Linked DNA regions of Drosophila melanogaster. Changing the gene in region 3 together with the main gene of any one other region gives a genetic interaction. Each region holds a gene or a part of one and is shown on either strand. Other genes may lie near its edges. The genes, in order: jus, para and shakB.

Region 1 (7,985 bases), on a different chromosome or scaffold from region 3:
AACTAACGATGAATGTTGCAAATTATTTCCAGCCAGACAGGCAGGCAGATGGATATATATTTAGGGCCAAACTTTACGTTTCAAGATACCCATGGAAAGCCATAAATAGTTCAAGGAATGTGCTGTACCAAAAAGATACTTCTTTCTATGCAAATTTTTGGTGCATCTCTTAATACTTTCATCATGTGAATTGATGATATACCTCTGCGAAGTTATCAAAGGCGATTATCTGGATATACCCAATAATACCCATCGATTTCTGCTCTCGGCATGCAAATCTTTCGCTTTTTGCAGTCGCTCGCCGGATGCAACTGCGGATGTGGATGTGGCAGTGCTGGGATGAGATGCGACGGAACGGGAGATGCATTGGGTTGGGATGGCGCCTCCAAAATGAATCGCCTGAAAGTGCTGCAATATTTAACATTTGCGTCGTGTGCAGGCCACGTGCGAAAAGTGGGGCTTTGGGCGAGTGGCACATATAGCCACCAATGCGGAAGGAAAATGCGATTTTTCCAGGCTTAGTCACTGGAATCCACAAGCTCTGGAATCCATTTAGAGCGGCGTGAAGTGGCGCTAATCGAGTGCCGTTGGATGGTCATTGGTCATTATAATGCCTGCAACGCGCACTCCATTGATCACGCACGAAAAATAAAATATGTGCCGCTTGTGTACTATAAATAGAACATGGTCTAAAAGGTGGCATACACTCAGAGAAATAATTGCTATGAACAACCTAATATCATAGCTCTGGCGAGTAATGTTACATCTAACTTTGAAGGAGACAGTTAGTTAGTTATTTGTTTGAATGCAGATATTATAGCAATATCGCTATTTATATGAAGTATGCCATTATAATTTCTCCCAGTGCACGGCTCCACAATCGCTGAGCCAAGTGTCGGGGGTGATAGAGTGGCATATGCACTTGCCATGACATGGTTAATGTGACAACGACTGTTTGCACAGTTTGCTTAATATTCCACACGTGCTGCCGCACATATAAAGGACTATGTGGCTGTACACATGTAGGATAATGAGGGTGTCAGAGGTCGACTTTTCGACTCCGGGCCACTCGACTCCTCGGTTCTGTGTCATCAGCGAAACGGGGCCAGTCGACCGCTGGCAATTTTATTATTTATCCTGGAGGTGAACACACACACACACCCACACACACAGCGAAAGCCCCAGAGATGCGGCATTTAGTTATCCTTAAGCTACTTAAAGGACAGCCTCACCTCAGCAAAATTAATTAGTGCACTTAAGCTAACCGCGCCTATGGGAAGCGCTGTCAGCCCTCGAAAGATCTAGAAGTATTTGCCCGAAAATTAAGTATACGCCGTGGCTAGCGCTGTACTTCATTGGCATTCATGCGCTGACCCACCGCAGCAGCCATTTGCCAGGGGAAAATCAAGCAGATAGTTTCGAGCAAAAGGATTCAAATGTCGAAGCGAAACGATTTTCCAAGCAGCCAAACAATTTATCTTCGCAGCGCCGGCGCTGGCTGGCCTATAAAAATGGCAATCATTATTATAGTCATGTACCAGGCAATGGGGCGTTACGGCAATCAACGCCAGCGTCCCCGCCAGAGCTCCATAAATAAGCGCGCAATTTCAATTTTCAACAACGCCCCAAAGGAGCTCATACTCGAGCTGAGGAGGAGCTGAAGAGGCCCGAGAAGCGAAAACCGGAGACAGACGCAGGCCGCATCGAAGATTATATGGTATATGGCTTATATGGTAAATGGCAGGCCGTGGTGTGTATTTAAATGCATTTTTTAATAGCCATAAAGCGGGCAGCTTGTCGGCCTAAACGGGAGGAGCACCAAATGCCAGCGGGCGCACTTAAAGGCCTCCTCCATGCGGATTTCGATTGAGAGTCCGCCTTGGATACGGATACTTGGCCGGGACAAGGACGAATGCGCAACTAAAACAAGAGAAGCCTCCTCGTACGGGGAACGTCGTATATAAATTATAAACGCAAACTGTGCGACAAGGATTTCTGGTTGGGTTTTCGGTTTGCTATACGGCATGTCTGCTCTTTCTACTTCTTTTTTTTTCAGTTTTATTTCTGCCGGTCGACATGCGATTTCGATGGCAAATGATTTTGCATTTGCCTGAGCGGTGGCGTGGGGCTGTGGGGTGGATATGGCGTATAGGGCGGCAAATCGAAGCATAAACGGGCATGCCACATGGTGCAAGTCGAAGGTCAAGGGTCATGCCGGCAGTCGGATCTCCTCGAAATTTACTGCAACACTTGCCGCCGGCGCAAAGGCATCACATTGTGGCATATATACTTTAGTTGTATTTATAGGCTGGATGGAAATTGATGACGTCTCCATCGGCAACGCCCCCCTGCCAGCCACATATATCCTCGAGATCCTTCGGCTGCGCGATGTCATGCCGCATGCAGATTGTCGTGCAGCTAGTAGCGAAGTAACTGCCACTGCAATTGGAGTTAGTTCACTGAAAGAAAGGTGATCCTAAAGCGAATGATATAGAAACAGAATATCGGAAAATGTAACCAAGTAAAGGTTTTTAAATAGATAGAAGATAACTATCCACTACTTTCTTCTGAGCTTTGCAAATGTATCTCAATCTAATCAAGGGTTTTAACTTCTTCCAAGTCTGAAAGATTCTTTAAATGCAGCTGACTTGTTCGTGATCACAGTTACACCCTTTTTCTTCAAGTGTTTGCAACGGCAACTGCCGCAAAGTCTGTGTTAGCCGGAATCGATCCGAAGGAGGAGCAGCGCAACTCGAGTCCTTATAACTTCACCTATACTGTGCATGTGCACATTCGCCAAACTCTGTGTGTATATGTGTGGCAAGGCGAGTGTGATGGTGTGAGTGGAGGCCAGACCATGTGCCTATGCCGTATCCTTACGCCTATGGATATGCCACGCGATGTGATTGTGAATGCGAAAATGTGGCGACGTCGAGGGAAAGTTGTGCTCCCAGCGAAGTTCGCTTTGGTTTGGTTGGGTTCGGTTCGCAGTGGTTTGGCTTGGCTTTGTCGGGGGGGGCTGCTGGCCCCAAAGCTTCTGGGCCAGGATGACGTAGTCCTCCGGCTGAAGTGTGTTAGTATGTCTGCCCTTCCGACTTGGGGTTGCACACACACACCAGCTCACAGCGTATCCATACAGGCGCAACGAGGGTGCGAAGGGGCATTAAATGGTTCGTGTTTTCCCTGCCCTTTTTCATATTTTCATTTGTGCCTCATCTCGCCCGTTTGTCGCCCATATTGGGGTCGCCTGACGGTTCGTACTTTAAAAGCGCCATTTAGTTCGCGCGCAGCCTAAATTATTAAAAGCAAATCCAACACACCGCACACAGGCAGTTCATTAAATTCAATGTATGCAAAATAGCGGCAACAAATGCGGCAAAAGGCAATCTTCCGCCACCCACCCACTCGGCCATCCAGCTGTTGTCATTTTCGAGCCACGAGCCTCAAAAAAGAAACAAGTTTGCGAGGCAAGCTCATCATAATCATGTGCCTTCCAAATGCAGGCGGAGAAAAGTGGGACACTTTTGCAAGAAAAGATGAGAAAATGTTTGAATTTCATCAGTGCTATGATGATATTTCACACAAATCATACTTATATACATACGCAGCAAGTCACATTTCACGAATGACAAATTCCATTGCCTACTTTTAGGCACTACCACAACTTTAGGCACCACATTGCTTTTAAATAGCCATAACTTTAAGATCTTTTATAGATTTCTGATTAGTTCAACTCTTTTCTGGTTATGAATTGTGTTTATCACAGTTTCCCCCCACAATTTGAAACTACTGCAGCGAGTTTTCGCTGCGTGTAGCAACTTTGCTGCGCAAATATGTTTCGCCAACTTCAATTTGTGTCCCAGGTAGTAAGTTTACCGCTGTGTGCGTATGTTTGAGGGGCATGCCGTGTTACTGTTGCCATCGCTGTGTGTGTGTGCGAGCTTGGCTTTTTTATGCGTCACGTGAGAATTTCCTTTATTATTATTTGACTTGGCTACCTCGGTACATATCACGTATACGCAACGTATAATTCCGCAGAAAGGGCATTGATTTTTTTGATTTGCTTTCAGTTCGGTTCGCCATTCCCCCCTTTTCGTTTATTACTTTGATTGCTTTTCACTGTTTTCTTCGTTTTATTTTTTTGTTTTTCTTTTTTTTTTGGTTTGAGGGCATGGATACGCTGCAGTTTGTGATTTTCTTTGCCCTGCTCAAGAAGAAAAATATTTGCTTGCCATTTATGTATATTCTGTTTTCATCTCGTTTTTTTTGTTGTTGTTTGTGTTTGGCACTTTTGGGCATTCGTTTTTTATTCTTGTTGCACGCTGTTCGGTTCATCACCACATTCACACACTTACACACTCATTCACTGACTCACACACACACACACACTCACGCGCGTAAGAAATATACTACTAAAATACAAATTGCTCACAATTTCCTTTGCTCTAGATAGTTGTTGTTGCTGCTGCTGCTGCTGCCTCGCACTGTTTGCTTTCCCACTGGATTTTCTCGGAAAACTCGACGACCACGCGCTTCGACGTCTGACCACGTTCTGAGCCGAATTTCCCACAGCCTTGGTGGAAAATGCGAATGTGGCGTTGGTGAAAAGTCTGCGAGGAAAAGTCACCATCAGGCGGCAGCCGCTTTTCCTCTCACAGGACCTGCGCATTTCCCGCCTGCAGGTGACACACTTTTCCGCGCCAACCGTCGCCGATGAAGTGGATTTTTCGACCCCTCCTCGGGCCACCGCTCCATCCCCCCCTCTGAGCCCACAAGCTCCACTATTTACATGGCACATCGGTTTAAGGCGGCTGGCAGTTTTCCTTCGTTTGCCCACTTTTTTCGTACTTTAGGTTGAAGTAAATTTCGCATGCATTGGCCGGAGGATGGATGCACTGAAAGAAACACATTACCAGCTTGCATATTATATATATATTATATATAGATATTAATTGATAAAATATTTAGCTTACTTATATTTTTAAACTCTATGATAATGGCATGACTTGATGCGTTAAAGTTTTGTAAATAGTGTATTTTATATATAAAAAAAATCAAAAATATCAAACAAATATGAATAGATTAATTCATAATAAAATGAAATTCTATAATATTTTTAGTATATTTTTCTCTGTGTAGCGTAACAAGACCTGGTGTGATGTGGCGCAAATGTCATTTTCAATGGCCGAAAATTTCGGTATGCTGCTGCCCAGTGCAGGGAGTTGAAAATTCGCATTCGCCGCATCCATAATGGATGATATGTCCTTTCGGCCCGCTGATCCTTCGGTTAAAGCAAAGCCACCGGGTTAACTGACCTTTGCAGTGCGGCCAACTTGAAATGCAAATAAGCGCCAATGTCCAATTGTAAAGTTCAGCAATCTAGAGTATTATTTATCACGTTTCAGCACAAACACATTGCCAAAAGCAAACAATTTAGTTTTGTGCGCAAAAGTTGCTGACGCTGGCACGTGCAATTTGAATAATTAACCGAACATTTTAATTAATGAAACAAGTTTGGTATTGACTTGGCCCAAAGTGTGAGTGCGTGTAGATACACACACTAGCACTTAAAAGTGTGTTTTGGCCCGAAGTGTTGTTGGTCATTTGCGCATTTATTAAATTAGAATTTGTGTGCCATTCGGTATGCTGTTTGCAGTGCTTGTGAATAACAAAAAAAAAAAAAAAAGATAATTAAAGTGAGCAGAAATAATTGGGCACTTTATTTATATTTTTTATTTAGTTACCATTCTAGCTATAAAATATGCTGCGAAAATAGGAATTATAAAACACATAGCTGTGTTGTGTGCCATTTGTTATAGTTTAATTGATAATTATTTCGCATAATTATTTCTCTTAATGAGTATAAACACTATTTTAAAACATTCCGAACAATTTATAAATGAAAATTTAAGCAAATGCTTAAAGTTAAAGAACTGACTTAATTATTCCATTTGTATTCCAACTGACAGCAGCTGTTGCAATTATCCCCCTTGCCAAAAACTAAAGTGAAAATGAGGTGGTGGAAAACCATATTCCACGAAGGAATGGCGTTGGCGGATCCCAGAAAGGAAACCGCCGACTGAAGCTGTGAAATGCGAAACGCAGCGGTATCAAAGGGGGAAAAGCGAACTGCCAGAAAAAAATCACAACTGAGAAATCAGAAAAAGGAAAAACCCAACCGGAGCCAACTCAATTCAGCGAAATCAACGCCAACGGCGGCTGCCTGTCAATTAAAACATTAAAACGCGCTGAAAAATGCAGCGAACAGGCGCAAAGTAAACAAACTGCGGAACATGTTGCAGTGCGGACAGCATTTTCCAACATTTTCCAACATTTTCAGCGATTAGAAGCATAGAATTTCGCAATGGAGCACTTAGAGCAGCACCAGAGTTTCGGGCCCAGACCACCAAACCGAGCAAAGAAATCCGATTCGTCGACCAGGGGAGGGACTAATGTGTGACCCAGTTTGGATCACTGTGCAGGAAAGGAACTCTGTGTGTTTTGGCCATTTGCTTTTTGATCATTAAAAACTGGTTGGCCGCCGCCAGCTGAGCGCCCCACTACATTTGCGGTCAGCTTAATAGCACCGCTGCGGCCATAAATTAGTCAAAGAAAATCTATTGGGATGGCAGCTGGCATCTGTCAATGATTTATTCTTGACACATCATTCCGTGTTAGTTCTTTTAAGAATTAAAAACCAAATAAAATAATAGTAATGATTTACGGTTGGGTCTTAGTGCAATTGTTTAGTAAATAAAGTTATCAAAGGCTATTAATTACTATTTATCATAACAGTTGATCAACAGCAAAGAGTTCTGGAAGAAAAGCGTGGAATATTCGTTTATATTTTTGCATATTTTTGAATATTTTTTTAAACAGTACAAATAACTTTTTAGAAAAAGTTTTATCGTAGTCAAGAAAAAGATGATTTAGCGCACTGACTTCTCCAATAGCTGGCTTTCTTGGATAGCTAAACGCTCCTATTCAAACACCCCCGACTGTGGCTATCTGTCCACTTGAACCGCCCGCCCATGTCTTCGGCGGCAGCGTCGCTTGTGGCATTGCCGCTTGGGTTTATAAGCGGCCGGCGATGGCGGCGGCGAGCCGAGTTTCAGCGTCAGATTAGCCGAGAGCGCGCGCGTTTTTTCCCACGATCAGGAAAATCGAATTCCAGAGCCATGAAGGATCGATTCAAGTGGTTGTCGCTGGAGCTGCTCCTGCTGATAGGCGCCGCAGTCGCCTTTCCGGACGGCGCTCCGGCGGACACGTGCGTGAAGCAGCGGGCGAATCAGCCGAATCATGGCAAGGCCCGGAGTCAGCCGGCTCACTCGAATCCGTACGAGGTGGTGGCCGATGCGCAGACCTACCATCCCGGCCAGCAGATATCGGTGGTCATCTACCCGCACTCGGACCAGAGCACCGTCTTCCGGGGATTCTTCCTGCAGGCGCGTGATGCCAACTCGAACGAGTGGATCGGCGAGTGGGTGCAGAGCGAGAACACCAAGACCATTCCAGAGTGCTCGGCCATTACGCACTCGGACAACCGGGACAAGCTGGGCGCCAAGCTCATCTGGAAGGCACCGCAAAATAAGCGGGGACAAGTCTACTTCACGTAAGTTGGAAGTTATAGGAGGAGTGGGTTAATTATATAGCTCAAGCCAATGGAATTATTAGAAAGATCTAGAATCTATAATCGAACTAACTTTCAGTGTTAAGTAGTGCTCTTACAGTCACAGCAAACAACTTAAATGCATGCAGAAGTTTCACTACCAACTTAATAAAATAAATGACCGCTTAGCACCCATTTTTTCGGACAGTTTCAATGAAGCACTTTGTCAAAACTGGCTTCGTACAACGCAGTTCGTGTCTTCTATGGCCCATCACCCTCATAATAATCATCATTATCATCGGAGGCGACGGTGGAAGTAGCATAAGCCGTGGCAACATCATTGTGCCTCGTGAAGGGATTCATTAATCATACGCCA
Region 2 (7,873 bases), 4.3 Mb from region 3:
TTTTTTTGGGGTAGGTTCCTTGTTCTTTAATGTGTCTTCCTCATCTTCGTTATTATCTAAATAAGACTTTTGGTTCTTCTTGGGACTAGCGGACAGCGGTGTGCTTTCCTTGTTGGTATCACCAGCGGCCCTTTCGTCGGTCTTCTCCTCGTCATCCTTCTCCTCGTCATCCTCCTCCTCCTCGCAATCCTTCATCTCCTTCTCGTCATCCTTCTCCTCCTCCTTCTTTTCCTCCTTATTCTCCTCCTTCTCCTCCTCCTCCTCCTCCTCCTTCTTTTCCTCCTCCTTCTTCCCCTTCTCCAACTTTTCCTCCTCCTCGGCCCCCAGGTCATCATCGGGCTGAGGATCGTCGGTCTTCTTGGCCGCGGCAGCAGCAGCTTTTTTGGCAGCCGCAACCCTACTCGGGCCTAAACCAAATTTACAGAAGATGGTAATGGCAACCGGCACCGCAATGGCCACTATGACAATGCCCCAGATCGCTCGATTGGCCCTAGCTAGCTCGACTACCTTATTCCCGAATGATTCACGATCGATGTAGAGACGCTTGATGTCGAAGCTGTTGGCAGCAAAGTCACGGGCCAACTCCACATCGTCCGTGATGATCAGGTTATCGAAGAGAATATCGCTGGACATGGACCACAGCTCCAGACCCACAGCGTTGATTGGCGTCATTTGGAAGGGCTTCAGATCCTCAAAGAAGTCTGGATTGGCTATCTTCCTGGGAGCCCACTTGCCCTGGTTGTTGGGGTTCTCGATCATTGGTGCACTCCACTTGCCCTTGTAGTTGGGATTGGGGATGAGCGGAGCCTTCCACTTGCCACAGCCGGGGGCCTTCTTGCACACTGGGTTCTCCACCAGAGGAGCCTCCCACTCGCCATCGATTTCGGAATTCCAATCTTCGGGTTCGATGGCAGTTGGATCGAAAATCATGTCGGGCTCATCCTCTAGCCAGCCATTTGGCATGACGGCATCGGTATCGGGCAGATGTGGTGGAGCATCCTCGTCCCAATCCTCGGGCTTGTGGGCATTGGGGTCTGGGATCTTCTTCCGCTCATCCCACGATTCTGGCTTGTGGTCATTGGGGTCATCTATCTCCGCCGGTGGGTTGACTGGTGGCACAAAGTCGGTCAGCAGGGAACCCTCTTTGATGATCTTGTGGTCTAAGCGAATCTCAAAGCTGTTATCGGGACGGACCACCAGCTGGTAGAGATGGGGTAGCTTGTCCGTGAATGGCACTCCCAAACGGGCATTTGGCTTTTTGCAGTGCTTTTCGGTGATGTTGCCATTTAATGGATTGACGTGCCGGAATATAAAGTGCATTTTCAAATTGTTGCCGCACTTGTCCGGACCAAACATGATGGTATAGGGTGTCTTGTCATTGAAGCGATTTAGTTGCTCCGTGCCTTTTCCGGCGGACAAAAGCTTCAGATACGAGCCGCCACAGTCCTGACCCTCCTGCAACGTAAGCTCGTACTGCACCACCAGCGGCTTGTTCGACTTGAAATCGAACGGCTGGCGAAAGGGGGCGGCTATGGCCGCATGCTTGGCCTTCGACTTGAGCACCAGACCCAGATCGTTTGCCCAAAAGATGCGTTGCGGAGACTCCCAGTTCCAGATGCCATCGTATTTGGCTATCTCATCGGCGATGTCGTTCTTCTTGGCCTGCGACAGTACCCATCTCTTTCGGGATGCCTCCACGTCGTCGAAGTGATCCGCAAAGTAAAACTTTTCGGCATCGATCACCGGACTCTTGTAGGCAAACTTCTCATCGCCATAGATGGCGCCGGGCTCTATCTGCACATCCTCCACAGAGTTTTCCGACTCCGGGGCCAAATAGCCGGTTTTGGCCGCACTCAGCAGCAACAAAATGGCGAAGAGCATTTTCCAAGCCATTTTCACACACTTTTCGCTTGCTCGCTTACTCAGAGTTGGAATAGATAAGGATTGACTGAATTGAGCCTTGCGTTTTTTTAATATAGCGACGTTCGAAGAAATTAACGATTTTTAACGATTTTTTGTGAAAAGTGGTTGACTTGACTGAACTGAGCCTTAATGCGTATGACTTTATTGACGCCGCTTGCTTGTTTGTATAAATTTTGGATTTGACTTACATAGATAGCTTAGTAATAGGTAATACGATTATGATTTTTAAAATGTAGATAATATTATAAGCACTTCATTTATTTGAAACGGTCTAACACTACCTTCTACCGCTACTACAGAAAATGTGAGAATTGAATCTAGATTCGGTTACGGATGTTCCTGCGGTCTTCGGATATTGGGCTTACATAAGCAGCCTCCGCTAAGGTCAAAGCACTCTTTTTCCATTTGCCAATCTGGCTGCGTGTGTGTATGTGTGAGCGCGCCAGTGTGTGTGCGTGTGTGTGTGTGTGTGTGTATCGAGCATAAAAGTAGGTCAGTTCGATATTTCGCCACACTCACACACACACGGAGGCATGAAGCATAGGGTAGCGTTCTCACACACACACAGAGTGGCAGTGGATGTGCCAATATGAGCATATATTTATGTGTGTCTGTTTCCATTCATGACACTCGCAAAATTCTGTTTGCCGAATTAATTTTTGGCCATTCGCTGGGTCGATGAGTCATGCGAAAAACCGCAAACAAGAATTGAAATAAAAAACAACCCGAGCCGGAATTTGTGTCAATATGCAAATGACACATGACAAACACATGAGCGAAACGCAAAACGTTTTCCTTAGCCAACCCAAGGTATCGATTTGGCAATATAACACAGAATATCTGCTACCCTATTAATTGTTGAACAAAATTCGATGGCAAGGAAAGGACTAAAAAACTAAAAAAAAAAACAAACAGAAACAGCAAAAAACTGAACGAAGTTAGCATGTTGTTAGTCAATGAATTTTGCATGGGAGAGCGCAATGGGCTGGCGAGAGAGCGAGGACTCTCACTCTCCTCCTGCCTGCGCCGAGAGAGCCAGTGCCCTCTCTCTTGCGCTCTCACTTCTCTGTGTGATGCCGCCAACAAACACGGACTACAACAATACATTTTTGGGTTCCCTTCTCTCTTAACGAACCTCCTTTCAATGTGTGCGTGAGCAAAGGAATTCCGTTAGAAACACCCCCCCCCCTCAACCTTCATCATTCATTTTTTTCTGCTCTGCTCTGCTCTGTTCTTTTTTTTTTTTTGTGGCAGCTGAAAGTTTGCCCTCCAAAAGCCAGCAAAAGGTTGTAGCCCAAAAGCAAAGGGGCGTGCCAGTGGGCGGGACAAAAAGGGGCGCAGATACCCCATTGATATGGTCTTGAGGTCGGGCCTGGTTAACTGGGATTTTCACCAAGGAGGCATGACATAATCGAGCCAAGTTCATCAAGTCGCCCACTGCTCCGTTCACACTTTTCTAGCTATTCAAATATTGAAATACATACGAAAGACACAATTGCTTTCTAAATTCTCATTTGACGTGCAGCGTAAATTGCCCTTTTTGGTATTCTATATTAAAATTGCAATCGATGGGAATACCAAATGTGGGTTTCTTAAAAACTTTCAATGAAAGTTGAACCATTGACCCAGTAAAATGTAGTTCTCTTTGACCAAAATGAAAAGTAAATTAATGACTTTGTTTTGAGCTGAGAAGTAAGTTAAGTAAGAGCTGAGAATTTCTAATATAACACATTGTTAGCCTGTTTGCTCTAACATAGATAACATAATTATTTTCAATACATTTCCACTATGTGTTAATTGTAAGAATTCATCATAAAAGTGGTTCTTTTAGACTCGAAAGATCGTTTAGTCTTAAGAATAAATCATTCAAGGTATCGGAAATAGTTGAAACTCAACAAATAAAAAATTTCACGATTTTTTTTCCTCTGTTTAGGGTTAAATATCATTAGCATAATTAAAAGTGCAATGAATGTGATAATAAAATACATATTAAATGGATTTTTTCGATTGCCTTCGATTACCTACCGTTAATCGATGTCTATCGATGTTGTGCCTGGCTGCTCGCTCTATCCGCTGATGTTGTTGTTGCTGTAGTTGCTATTGTGGTTGTTGTTGCTGTTGCTGCTTTTGTTGTGAGCGTGCTTGCTTGTATTGTTGTTGTTGCTGCTGCTGCTAAGAATTGTTGCTGCTGTTAACTACTGTTGTTGTTGTTGTGGTTGTGGCTCTGGCTGCTGCTGCTGTTGTTGTAGTTGTTGTTGTTGTGGCTCACACATTTACAGGCACCAACACACACGCGACGCACTCACACACATATGCATACATATACATAGATATATATATATATAAATATATATATATGTATATTTTATATATATATATATATTACGGAGACGAAGACGAATAAAGTTGAAGCGGTAGAACAAGTAGAAGATGAATTTGTTGTTTGTTTTGTTTTTTGGTTTTTTTGTTTGGTTTTTTTTTTATATTTGTATTTTTGTTTGCTTTTATTTGTTTTGGTTTTGTTTGTTAAATCTGCATTATCATTGGGTATTTGAATTGGTTTTTTTATTTAATTTTTTTGCGTGCTTAACAACAACCAAGACGTGTTGCCAGAAATTTTCATCAAACGTTGCGTTTTGTTCCCAGAGCTGTTTCAATTTATTATTTATAGTTAATGTTAATATTATTTGTTGTATTATTTCTACTAGTATCTGGCTACCTGGCTGGGATATTTAAATGAGTTTGCCTCGGCTTGGTTTCTCAACTGTTGCTATGATTATAATTGGTTTTCCGTATTATGACTAATAGTATTATTATTATTATTTGCAGATTTTATTTCGGTTTTAGTTTCAATTTCGTCAGCGTCGCCTGCGGAAAAGCGAACAAGTTGTTGAAACCCAGCTTAAATTGGAAAATTTGATGGGAAAACTCATTCACAAAAGGTGACAGAAATGTAAAAAAAATTGAAAAAAATATTATCGGAAGAAAAAATTTCGAATAATTTGTATGGCCCACTAAAAGCACCCCCTAGTATTGTTTGAATGGCTTGAAATTATTTTTTTTAATATTTATTTCTTTTTATATGTTAGATTTTCTGCTGTCCTTGTGCCAATTATGTGAATTATGTCGTTAGTTTATTTGATTCCTTCTACTAAACTTGTTATATTTCTTCAATAGATATTTAAAATGGGCTTGTAAATTGTATTCACACACTTGATGGCTTTCACTTAGACACACGAAAAAAAAAACGTAAAATGAGCACTCAATTGGCAGGATAATGTCTCACTGGATTGGATGCACTGTAAAAAAAAATGTCGAGGCAGCGAGTCGCGGCTTGTTTGTGTTTATGCAATTTTCGCGCGCACGTGAAACGCAGAGCAGTATTGAAAAAGGACACAAGGATGCGGAAAAAAGTCGAGCACTGAGCACTGAAAAAGTTCCTCCTCTCTGGGTAACTCCGTTTTCGGGCGAACCAGGCAGTTGTCCGCCGTTTCGCCGTGACTTCCTTTTATCCGAATTTGCCGCGAAAAGGAGCAGAAGCAGTTCGCGCGTGTGTGTGTTTGTGTGTGTGTGAGAAGTCCTTTTCGCCCTAAAGCATTTGCCATATATAACCACCCAAGTCGTTGTCAACACAGGTTTTGTTGTGCTACTTTGCCACCCTGTTTTTCGCTGCTTATCCTTTCGCCCTTCGCTATTCTCCGCCATTTGCCACATACTATTCGCCATCGCCGACTCTCATTTTTTTATTTGTCTTTGGTCACTTGTTCTATTTTTAGGTCATCAAGCTGATATTCCACGGCTCTGCTCTGCCCGAAAATTGCAACAGTGGGTCATTATTTTTGGGCGTTTGGCACCAGTTGGACTGGTCAAGTCAAGTCCGACTGCGTTCATAACTAATGTGGCCCGAGAATATGGAGCATCAGCTATAATCGCAAATCATGCTGACCCGCTTTTCGGGGCCCCCCATCTTGGACACCGACCAATCGATCCTATCCGAACTTTATCTAACCCAGCGGTGGCGGGGTCACCAAGTCACCAAGTCACCAGTCAGCCCACCCATTTGCACACATTAAGGAACTGCGTTCCTAATGTCCTTACAAATGGACAAGTACATACATATGTATAAACAAATTGAAAACAATGGAGTTTAACTGTGTGTGTGTGTGTGTGTGTCTTAACTGGATTGGGGTCACCAAAGCGCGCAGCTTTTGTGGGAGTTTGAGTAATAATGCTTTTAAATCAGGAAACTGTTTTCGAAGCGTTTAAGCTTGCTATAAATTTAACCTAATTGACTTCATTCTTAAGTGTGTAATACTATAAGTTTGGACTTATCATTTCCTGGCACTCAATAGTTGTACTCAATAGCGTACTTAGAAACCTTTAAATTGCCAATTTCTCTTTGGGACTAATGTTTATTTATCACAGTTTCATCCATAATGGGAGCCAATGATTTGGAATTCGTTTGGATCATGAACCTTGGCCTTGCTCCTAATTGAATTCGCAGTGAGGATCTTCGCGTAACATAAGACATTTGTCGCAGGTCGCATATGGATGGCAATATTACCGAGAGCACAATCTCCTTATTGGATTGCGTCCTGATTGCAAGCCCTTGGGATTCGCACAATGGAAGCCAAAGGCCAGAGCCTTGCACACATGCTATTCGACTTGCGTTTGCTGCTCGATGGCTGCTAGCTTGGTCTTTTGACCATTTGCACGTCACGTATTTAATAATTTATTTATGCATCAATTTGGGTTATGTAAATTTTTTACACCAAAAGCCAACAACAGGCAAAGGGCGAGCAAAGAACAACAATGGGGCTGGAAGCCAATTGAACACGCACAACCCAGGGGCAGATTGAACTGCGACTGCCATTTGGTGACTGGTGGTGCTCCGGCTGGGCTTCCGTCCCTCTCCATGGGATGCAATGGTATGGGGGTCCTGCGGAGCCTTCGCCCCGGGACAAGCTGGTGAGCACGATGGAAGGCTGGTGGCAGGCTGTTGGCCGAATGGCACCGGCCTAACCCGCTGGGCATTGGACGAGCCGCAAAGTTATTGTAACACCCATTTGGACTGGTCTTAACACATCGGTACTTTCTTTAACGGGTGTTCCCCATGCCATTTCACTATATTTTCAGCTTTTTGGTTTTCTATAGCGACCAGAAGTCGCGAAAGCAACACAAATAGCCAAATAGCCACACGAAAGCCACACAATCGCACACGAATGACAGCTAGTGCGTTTTATAAACGAAAGTTTATAGATTTTGGCCAAGGAAGGGAAAGTTTTCGCTTTCGATTCTGGGCCACAATTGCGTGTCCTTTCGGTTTCGACGAGGTCCTTGCAAGTTCTCGGCAAGAGGCACATAAAAAATGAATCCTTCGTTGTAATGTGGCACCCATAAATGTTTAAACAATTTTGACAGTACCTAAGTTGCTTGATCTAAGAAAGCAAGTAAAATAAATGATGTTACTAACATAATCTGGCTTAAAATTGCTTAATATGCAAATTAAACCATTATTATCTGCTATCTAACCTCAATTCTTTAGGGATTTGCACGGCACTGAAATATTCTCTGAACGCAATTGTCAGTAATAAGCTTTGAATTCGACTACACGATTTCCACAATCATGAAAGCGCTTTCGTGACAATAACTGTTATAAATGTCTGTTGTTGAATCAAATATGAACAATTCCAATTATTCGCTTTTCTGGCAATTAACCGCCATGTCCTGCATACAGCTTGTTTTAATGCATGTACACGTATGGAATGGCTATATTTTTCATTAGAAATCAACTTCAAACTTCAATAGCGTTGCACAATTTCGTATTTTTGTTCGCATTTTTTTTTTTTTTTGGTTCAATTTTTTGTGAGCTAAGCCAAGGCAATTTGAGACACCCTTGTCCCTTTTACGCCAATCTCGCTCACATCGTCGCTTTCTGCGCTCTCTTGCA
Region 3 (7,654 bases):
GCGTTTCCGACCATATAAAGTATATATATATTTCTGATCCCACTCAATAGCCGACTCCATCAGTATGAACGCCTCGATCTTAGGAACTATTAAAGCTAAAAAGTTTAGATTAGACAGGAAGATTCCGAAGGCATAATAAATCAGGCCAATAAATGAGGTCAATAAATTCACGAATTTTTGAAATGCCGCATAATCAGGGGATAATTTGCTTTCACACTTTCAAGAGATCACGATACCTCATAGCATAAACGTTGTAATAGTCGCAGTACTCGACTAAAGCGTTGCTGTTATTTTTTGTAATATGCCATTTTATTCCATGCGAAAGTGCTAACAACTTCCCTTATTTCATTATCCTGCTCTTCCATTTTTTTTGTCATAGCGTAGATTTTCCATAATCTAAGCAGCACTTTAATAGACATTTTCCCAGATTTTCCCGGCAGTTCACTCCTTGATAAATACACTCACGTAGCCGGTTGGTGAAACGTCAAAGTCAATAAGCACAAAAATTTCGAAGGCAGTAGGTTTTTTCGCTTCCTTTACCGAGCCATTACAACATACAATCAGGCGGATCAGACAGACGACGACATCGAAATCGAAACGTGGCTACAACAGCTAGGTGAGTGAGTGGCGGCTTTTCCGAGCGCTGGTTCGCTTTTTCACCTGCGCAAAGCACGCAAATACCCAAACACACACTCGCATTACGCGCAACTTTTTAAAAGTCAGGCAGAAAAATGTTTTTTAAACGCTAAATTACTTTTGAATGGCAGGAGGGCGTGGCGGCGCCTCGTCATGTGGGCGTGTCGGAGCGCCAGCGTCACAATTTAATTTTGTGCTCCCTCATTTGCCCTGCCACCCGCCCTCCCCTCGCCAGACGCTTTCCCACCGCTTTTCCACGACAACAACAAGCGCTTTGTCACAAGAGGGGCGCTTTTTTTCGTGTAGCGTCTGAAGAGCGGAAATGCTTATCCCAACACTTGAGCGTCACGTGCTGCCGTGGTCGCTGCTGCGGCGACACCGACACACGGATACCCTAACTGAATGTATGCGAATCGATCGATATGGAAAGCAGGCAATAGTGGTTATGAAGGGTTTACTGGCTATTGGTTACTGGTTAGTGTGGTGATTACCAAGTGAGCGAACTGAAGAATCGGCATGGTTAAGAAATTAAAGAAGAAGATTTTTAATGGTAATAGAGCTTATATAGATTATACGCCGAAAATCGAATTCAACTTTTAAATCGGTGCTCATCAGATCATATTGGGTCTTGAAAATTGAAGGCCCATTTTTGCCATATATTAATCCGTATTCAAAAAGTGATTATTTCTTCATATCTATTGAATTTGACTCTATTAATTTGTTTCCCTGACATTTACGAAGGATCTGCGAATCTTCCGGTGGCCCCCCAGTCGCTGGTTTCATTTGAATTCCTCGCTTTCGGCAGTTAGGGTATTTAAATCTGTCCGGCCTCAGACTTGCCAAACTGTGCCACGCAGATACTTTCCCGCGCAGAAAGCGCCTAAGGTCGTTGTCGTTGTCGCTGGAAAAGTGGAAAAGCGAGGAAAAGCGCGAGACAGGTAGTGGGGATGGGGATGGGGATGAGGATGGGGCAGAAGGTTGGTGTCTGGTGGCTGGGGAAAACACCCTGTAGGTGTTTTGAATGTTTAGCTCAAGTGGCTTTTTAAAACACATTCTATGCTAATTAAGGGCCCGGGCTTGGGCATAAATGAGTTGTCGGTGACGTTGACGTTGCCTGTCGCCGTTGTTTGCATTTGATAAGCCAAGATTGTTGCCAGCCAATGTAATCAATGGAGGGCAGCGGAAGGAAGCTCCACCATCTTACCATCATACCAACATACCGCCAAGCCATCGCCATCATCGCTCATTGCGTAATCCTCGAGGAGCGGTGGCGAAAGCGCAAACCCCATTTAATTAACGAATTAACAAAGCCAGAAGTTTCTGTGGTTTTTAAGTGATTTCGGGTCGCCCGAAGGCAAACATTTTGCGGCCTTGTTATGGCATAATTGAATTATTGCCATATGAAAAAACAAAATATGGGCTAAGACCCCAGTCAAAACGCCGAACCCAAAGACCCAAAAACTCAAACCCAACTGGCAGCCAAAAAAAAAAGGGAAGTCGATGGCAAAGTTTCTTGTTCGCTTTCTTATTTTTCCTTCACATCTCGGGCAAAATAAATCAAGACTTTTGGGCGCTTGCAAAAAAAAAAAATATATATATATTCGGAAAACGGAAAAATGTGAGGAAAAGCCAAAAAGTCGGCGCCAAATTGAATTAGGGCTTTAATGGCGAAATTTGTGGGTGAACTCCTATACTTAATACTCGTATTAATGCAGCTCATTAAGAATTACTAAAATTTGTATCGGGCTGGAAGTTCTTATCGACAACCCTTTTCCTAAATACCTCTAAACCGCACCACAACCAATGCTATTGTTATGGAACGTTTTCCCAGTGGGCTATGTTTGGATAAGTTTAAGATATGGGCTTTTTAGCCCGTGGGCTTTAGCTGTCAAGGCTCAATAGATTTTTGTTGTCGATAGGAGTAGGAGGTAAACACGAGGATCTACATTTCTCTTAAATTTGTAAAACTTTTTCAACTTTCAACAGCCATGTTAATTCAACTGGTCTTCCTGGGCATCCTATTGTGGGCGTCCTTCTTTTGGCTGCAGTGCCGCTACCTGGATGTCCTGGAACTCCTCTTCGCCTGGATAGGCAATCAGTTGGCGGAAACTCGCAGGAGGCGAGCTCGCGAAGAACGGTGCCGCCTGGGCAAAAAGTGGGCGGTCGGAAATAAGGGCGATGGCATGGAGAAGCTGCTCTCGCCGCCGATCAAGAATCGTCTCAATATCCGAGTGGAGCAGTGCTGCGACTTCATAACCGCCGGCTTGGGCTTGGTGCTCGAGGACGACGTGACCCAGAGGTTTGTGGCCCCACCTTCGCCAGCTGGGGAATGGAATCTGCTGACCCGCAACCTTCGTCAGAGGAATCGATACCTCAGCTGGCGTTTAAGGACGGTCTGGCTGCTGGGCTGGGTTGTACGCTACGGACTGCTTTTGCCCTTCAGGACCATTGGCTGCTGGCTGTGCCTGTTCATGATCAGTGGAGTCTCAATGCTGCTGGGTCACATTCCCGACTGGTGCTTCAAGAAAAAGTTGGTGGAGCTGGTATTGCGGCAGTGCTTCCGAATCACGGCCGCCTGCCTGCCGATGATCCGCAGATTCCACAACACGGAGTATCGGCCCACCAAGGGCATCTGTGTGTGCAATCACACGAGCCCCTTAGACGTCCTGGTGCTGATGTGCGATGCCAACTACTCGCTGACGGGCCAGGTTCACACCGGCATCCTGGGCGTCCTGCAGCGCGCCCTGTCGAGGGTCTCCCACCACATGTGGTTCGACCGCAAGGAACTGGCCGATCGTGAGGCTCTGGGTCTGGTGCTCCGCCTACACTGCTCCATGAAGGATCGGCCGCCGGTCCTGCTCTTCCCCGAGGGCACTTGCATCAACAACACCGCCGTAATGCAGTTCAAAAAGGGTAGCTTCGCGGTCAGCGACGTCGTTCATCCAGTGGCCATTCGATACGATCGCCGATTCGGCGAGGCCTATTGGGACAGCACCCGTTACTCTATGCTCAGATACATGCTGATGGTGGTCAGCTCGTGGTGCATTTGCTGCGATGTTTGGTACATGCCGGCACTCAGCCGGTGCAACGACGAGTCCCCAGTAGAGTTTTCGAATCGAGTGAAGGCCGCAATCGCCGCCCAGGCGAATATCGATGATCTGCCCTGGGACGGAAACCTAAAACGCTGGAGTCCCGTCAGGGACTGGCAATAGTTCAAGCATAGCTTAGGTTCTTACCTTGGCTATTTCATATCGCCGTTTGCAATACCGTACGCTGTTGGTATATTGATTGTATGACCCTTTTGATACTAGTAAATCGATCGATATATTTTAGAGAGCAAAATGTGATAAATTCACTTATTTTACTGTTCTCTGGCCGCGAAGTGGTGGAGCAGCTAATCTCGATGACCAGAAGGGAAGACCCCTTGCATTCTGTAGGCTATTCTATAAACCAATTATTATATGCTTTTCTATCTCTTGATAGCCAGACAACTGATTGATTAAAACAAAGCTATTAAATGGTTAAACCGGATGCTGTGTATCCACTTATAAAAAGTTATTCTGTCGTAAGTCCTTTGGATCTGACCCCAGATAAGCACTAACTAGATATGATATACTAGACCTCTCATGACATATGACTCTAGTCCCTATGGTGGTGGTGACCTTATAGATAGCGAGGACCTACCGTTTTGGCTGGACAATCTTTCTTTCTCCGTGGCGAATCGAGGCGTTGGGCCCGTACCTTCCGAGGAGGGCGCTCTGCGACTGGGAAACGCCGCCGGCGGCGGAAGCGGACGCCGCGGTGATCGCCGCAAGGCCGCTGCGCAACGAGGTGCAGGTGGCTAGATCCCGGGGGTGGGCTAGCCCGTAGGCGCCAAAGGCCGACTGCGAGTGGACCGCATAGTCGAGGCCGGGTAGCTCCAAGGAGGCGATCGGGTGAATGCGGGTCAGTGAAAGCGTGCTTTCGAGCACGGTGCTCAGGAGCGGGGCGCTGCGCAGGGATCTCAGGCTGCCGCGGCGCGTGAGCGTGTCCGGCTTATACATCCGGGGTTGGGGGGGCCGGCCGACCCCCCGCCGCCGCCTGCCGACCGCCTAATTGCTTGTCACCTCCTCTGCTCCGGTTAGTAATTGCCGTAAACGGTCGGTTAGTCCGGCGTGCGGGTCATTCGCAGCAGTCGCTTTATGACCAATTACGCTGTTTAGTGAGCAAAGCGCGCTGGTCACGCAACTATTTAGTCGTCGTCTCCTGCTCCCTATATTGCTTACTTGCTTTTTTGCTAACTTGCTCTACTGCTAATCTGCTTGCGTTCGCTTCCTTATCGGTTACTTGACTGTTTGATTTTTGCTTTGGAATAAGGCTATCTTGCTCGGTATCCTGCTTGCTATCTTGCTTTCCTGCTATTCTTTTTGTTATATCTGCTTGCTTGCTAACTTGCTTTGCCTGCTAGCTCTTCTGTCTGCTGCTTTCTTGCTTTCCTCTTCAGACTAGTCTTCTTCTTTTGGATCCTGCTTTCATCTGCTGGTTCGCTTTCTTGCTTCTGAAAATATCTATTACGTGCTTTTGCTTTTCTCGTGCTTTGCAGCTTTTGTTAGCCTACGAATTCCTTCTTGCCTTACCTAACTTTACTAACCTATCTGATTTGACTATTACACTACTTTTGCGTCTTGGTACCTTTTCTGCTGCTTTCGATACTTTTGCTTGGGCGCTTTTCAGCTGCGTCTATGCTTTTGTTTTTGCTTCGCTTTGTCTCCAGTTCACTTGCGTGCTTTCACTTCGCTTGCCTGTCTCACTGCTTGCCTGATTTCCTGCTCTCCAGCTTGCCTTATTTCCTGCTCGCCTGCGTGCCAGCGTTTTGTTGGCACAAATGCTCGTACAAATTGCTCGTCGCCTTGTTGCTTTTGCTGCTGCTCGTGTCGCCAGTTGCCGCTTTGCTTTGGCTGCTTTGCATACAAGATTTGATTTGTCAGATTGCAGATTGCCATTGCGATAGGGAATGGACACGCGGGAGTTCCCCTGCGGGGTTGCGCCTGACTAAACGAATATGCTGAGTGGGTGGGCAACTGGGTGGTGGGGGTGGCAAGTGCTCAACTAATTGATGGATGGCGAGTGCAACTCGCCCTCCGACGCGCCACATTTGCAACGAGTGCATTCGCGGCAGCTGTCGGCTAAGTGATTCATCGAAAGCAACTCTGATTGATGGCACTTGACACTAGTCGCTAATCACTAAGGGCTATTCAGTAATCAGCTCGACGCGCTAATGAGTATTTCACTGAGATCCCTAAATCACTTACTTTGTGGGACATGCATAATCTAGTTCCAAGTTCCTACAGTTGTAGTATAAGTTGTGGTAAAGAATTTATTTTATGGCCCTTAATTTTTTTACTCTTTTAAACTTTACGTTTTAGGTATTTTTATCCTTTAAATTTACTTTATAAATTAATTATAAAATTCAGATTTTCACATTAAGAACTCGGCTAGGTATTAAAACCAATTCTGGCAGGTAATCAACAGGTAAATCATATAAATTGAATTTCTCACGGCATCTTCGTAATGAATAGTGTTTAATCACGAAACAGTTCTGGATAACGTGTTTAGTTCCAATTAATAATTCACTCATCAAGATTTCTTGGACGTGATTAACATGCTACAGCAAAAGCAACTGTAGTCTCAAGTAAGCAAAGTAGAATTGGTTTTTGGAGATGTGGCTCACAGCAAGGAGATCCGTAAAATGTATGGAAACTAGGTTTTAGACAGGGAATATACATATATACAATTACCAAATATAGCTATCAATGTTTGAAATATGAATTTTACATTCATAAAGATCTTCTAAGAGTAGGAAGTGCTCTTCCTTAAAACTTTTGAATGTTTTATGATGCGGCAAGAGTATTAGTCTTATATGTATGACAACTATATTTTGACGAGGGATAATATTTACAGTTCACTTATAACTAATAGTGCTTACAATGCATATCGAAGTTCCACGAAAAAGAAAACTCTAGGTCAGTAGACTAAAGGTATCAATATTTTTGTAACTTCGATACTTTTAGGCCACGGAACTCGAGTTTTAAATTAAAGTGAAACCACCTAATAGATAAAATAGATAGTATGATAGTATAAGCTAGACTCACTTGTGTCAAATCTAAACGAACGATGATGAACGAACGTTGTTCTTGATAATGGCAATGTCATTGGCAGTGTTGGGGGCGTTATGCTGTTGTTTCTCTTGTTATAGTGGATTTTCTGGTTGATTTCGTTGTTGTTGATCTTGAAGATTTTCTTTTGCGGGGCAGCCCCCGGCCGCCCTCTCACTTTTGAAGTTTCCCCACTCGATATTCCACGCCGCCTCTTTTTCCTTTGTCGGTAAACACTGAGCACTGCACTTTCTCAATTTGGTTATTCGGTTTTTGTTGTTGGTATTCGGTTTTTGGTTTTTACTTTTATGAAACTAGTTTTGAGTATTTACAGTAATGTGCATGTCTTAATCGCTTGGTATTGTATTTCTGCTTTTTACTGATGATGTAGGGGACAACGATAACCGAGCACTGTGGCACGATTGATTTACTGATTGGGTGACTGACTGACTGACTGACTGATTGATTGACTGACTGACTGATAGAACCTACGTGTGACGTAACGAATCAAATGGGCAACCACTCCAATCGGGTCTCGTGATCGCAATCCTTGCGCCCAGGGTTGTTCCTGACTTGTCCAGGGTTGCCAGCTCTTTCTCTGGCCATTTGCCACCGGGACCAATCCATGGCCTTCTTCCTGGGTCCTTCAGCGCCTTTACCTCCTTCTCAGCCCCCCGGAATCCGGAAACCGAATCCGAATCCGCTCACTCACCGCCGCTTGCACATTTGTCGCCCTCTCACTCGCTCTGTCTGCCGTCTCACTTGCTCCTGTAGGCGTGCGTGGGCGTGGGGCAGTTGGAGCCGCGCCCCCAAAAAAAAAAAGAAAATACTTTCAGCTGTCCTCATAGACACTCGACGATCTGAAAATATAAAGAAAAAAGAAT

The links.
Region 1: of shakB (region 3) and jus, changing one suppresses a phenotype caused by changing the other (phenotypic suppression), as found in Drosophila melanogaster (one study listed by BioGRID).
Region 2: of shakB (region 3) and para, changing one suppresses a phenotype caused by changing the other (phenotypic suppression), as found in Drosophila melanogaster (one study listed by BioGRID).

What each region holds. Positions count from the first base shown.
Region 1 is NT_033777.3:29,190,456-29,198,440, forward strand, and holds the start of jus (julius seizure), read right to left. Parts: upstream 4,539-7,985; 5' UTR 4,433-4,538; intron 1-4,432. Other genes in the region: CG14515 (uncharacterized protein), read left to right, coding at 7,179-7,612.
Region 2 is NC_004354.4:16,523,329-16,531,201, forward strand, and holds the start of para (paralytic), read right to left. Parts: upstream 4,087-7,873; 5' UTR 3,949-4,086; intron 2,088-3,948; exon of another isoform or gene 1,894-2,087; coding exon of another isoform or gene 1-1,893. Other genes in the region: Cnx14D (calnexin 14D), read right to left, coding at 1-1,893. UniProt on the Drosophila melanogaster protein: Mediates the voltage-dependent sodium ion permeability of excitable membranes.
Region 3 is NC_004354.4:20,821,668-20,829,321, forward strand, and holds the start of shakB (shaking B), read right to left. Parts: upstream 4,790-7,654; 5' UTR 4,680-4,789; coding exon 4,321-4,679; intron 3,975-4,320; exon of another isoform or gene 3,849-3,974; coding exon of another isoform or gene 2,625-3,848; exon of another isoform or gene 2,623-2,624; intron 617-2,622; exon of another isoform or gene 479-616; intron 1-478. Other genes in the region: CG15450 (uncharacterized protein), read left to right, coding at 2,625-3,848. UniProt on the Drosophila melanogaster protein: Structural component of the gap junctions at electrical synapses in distal and mid-depth levels in the lamina. Isoform Lethal forms voltage sensitive intercellular channels through homotypic interactions.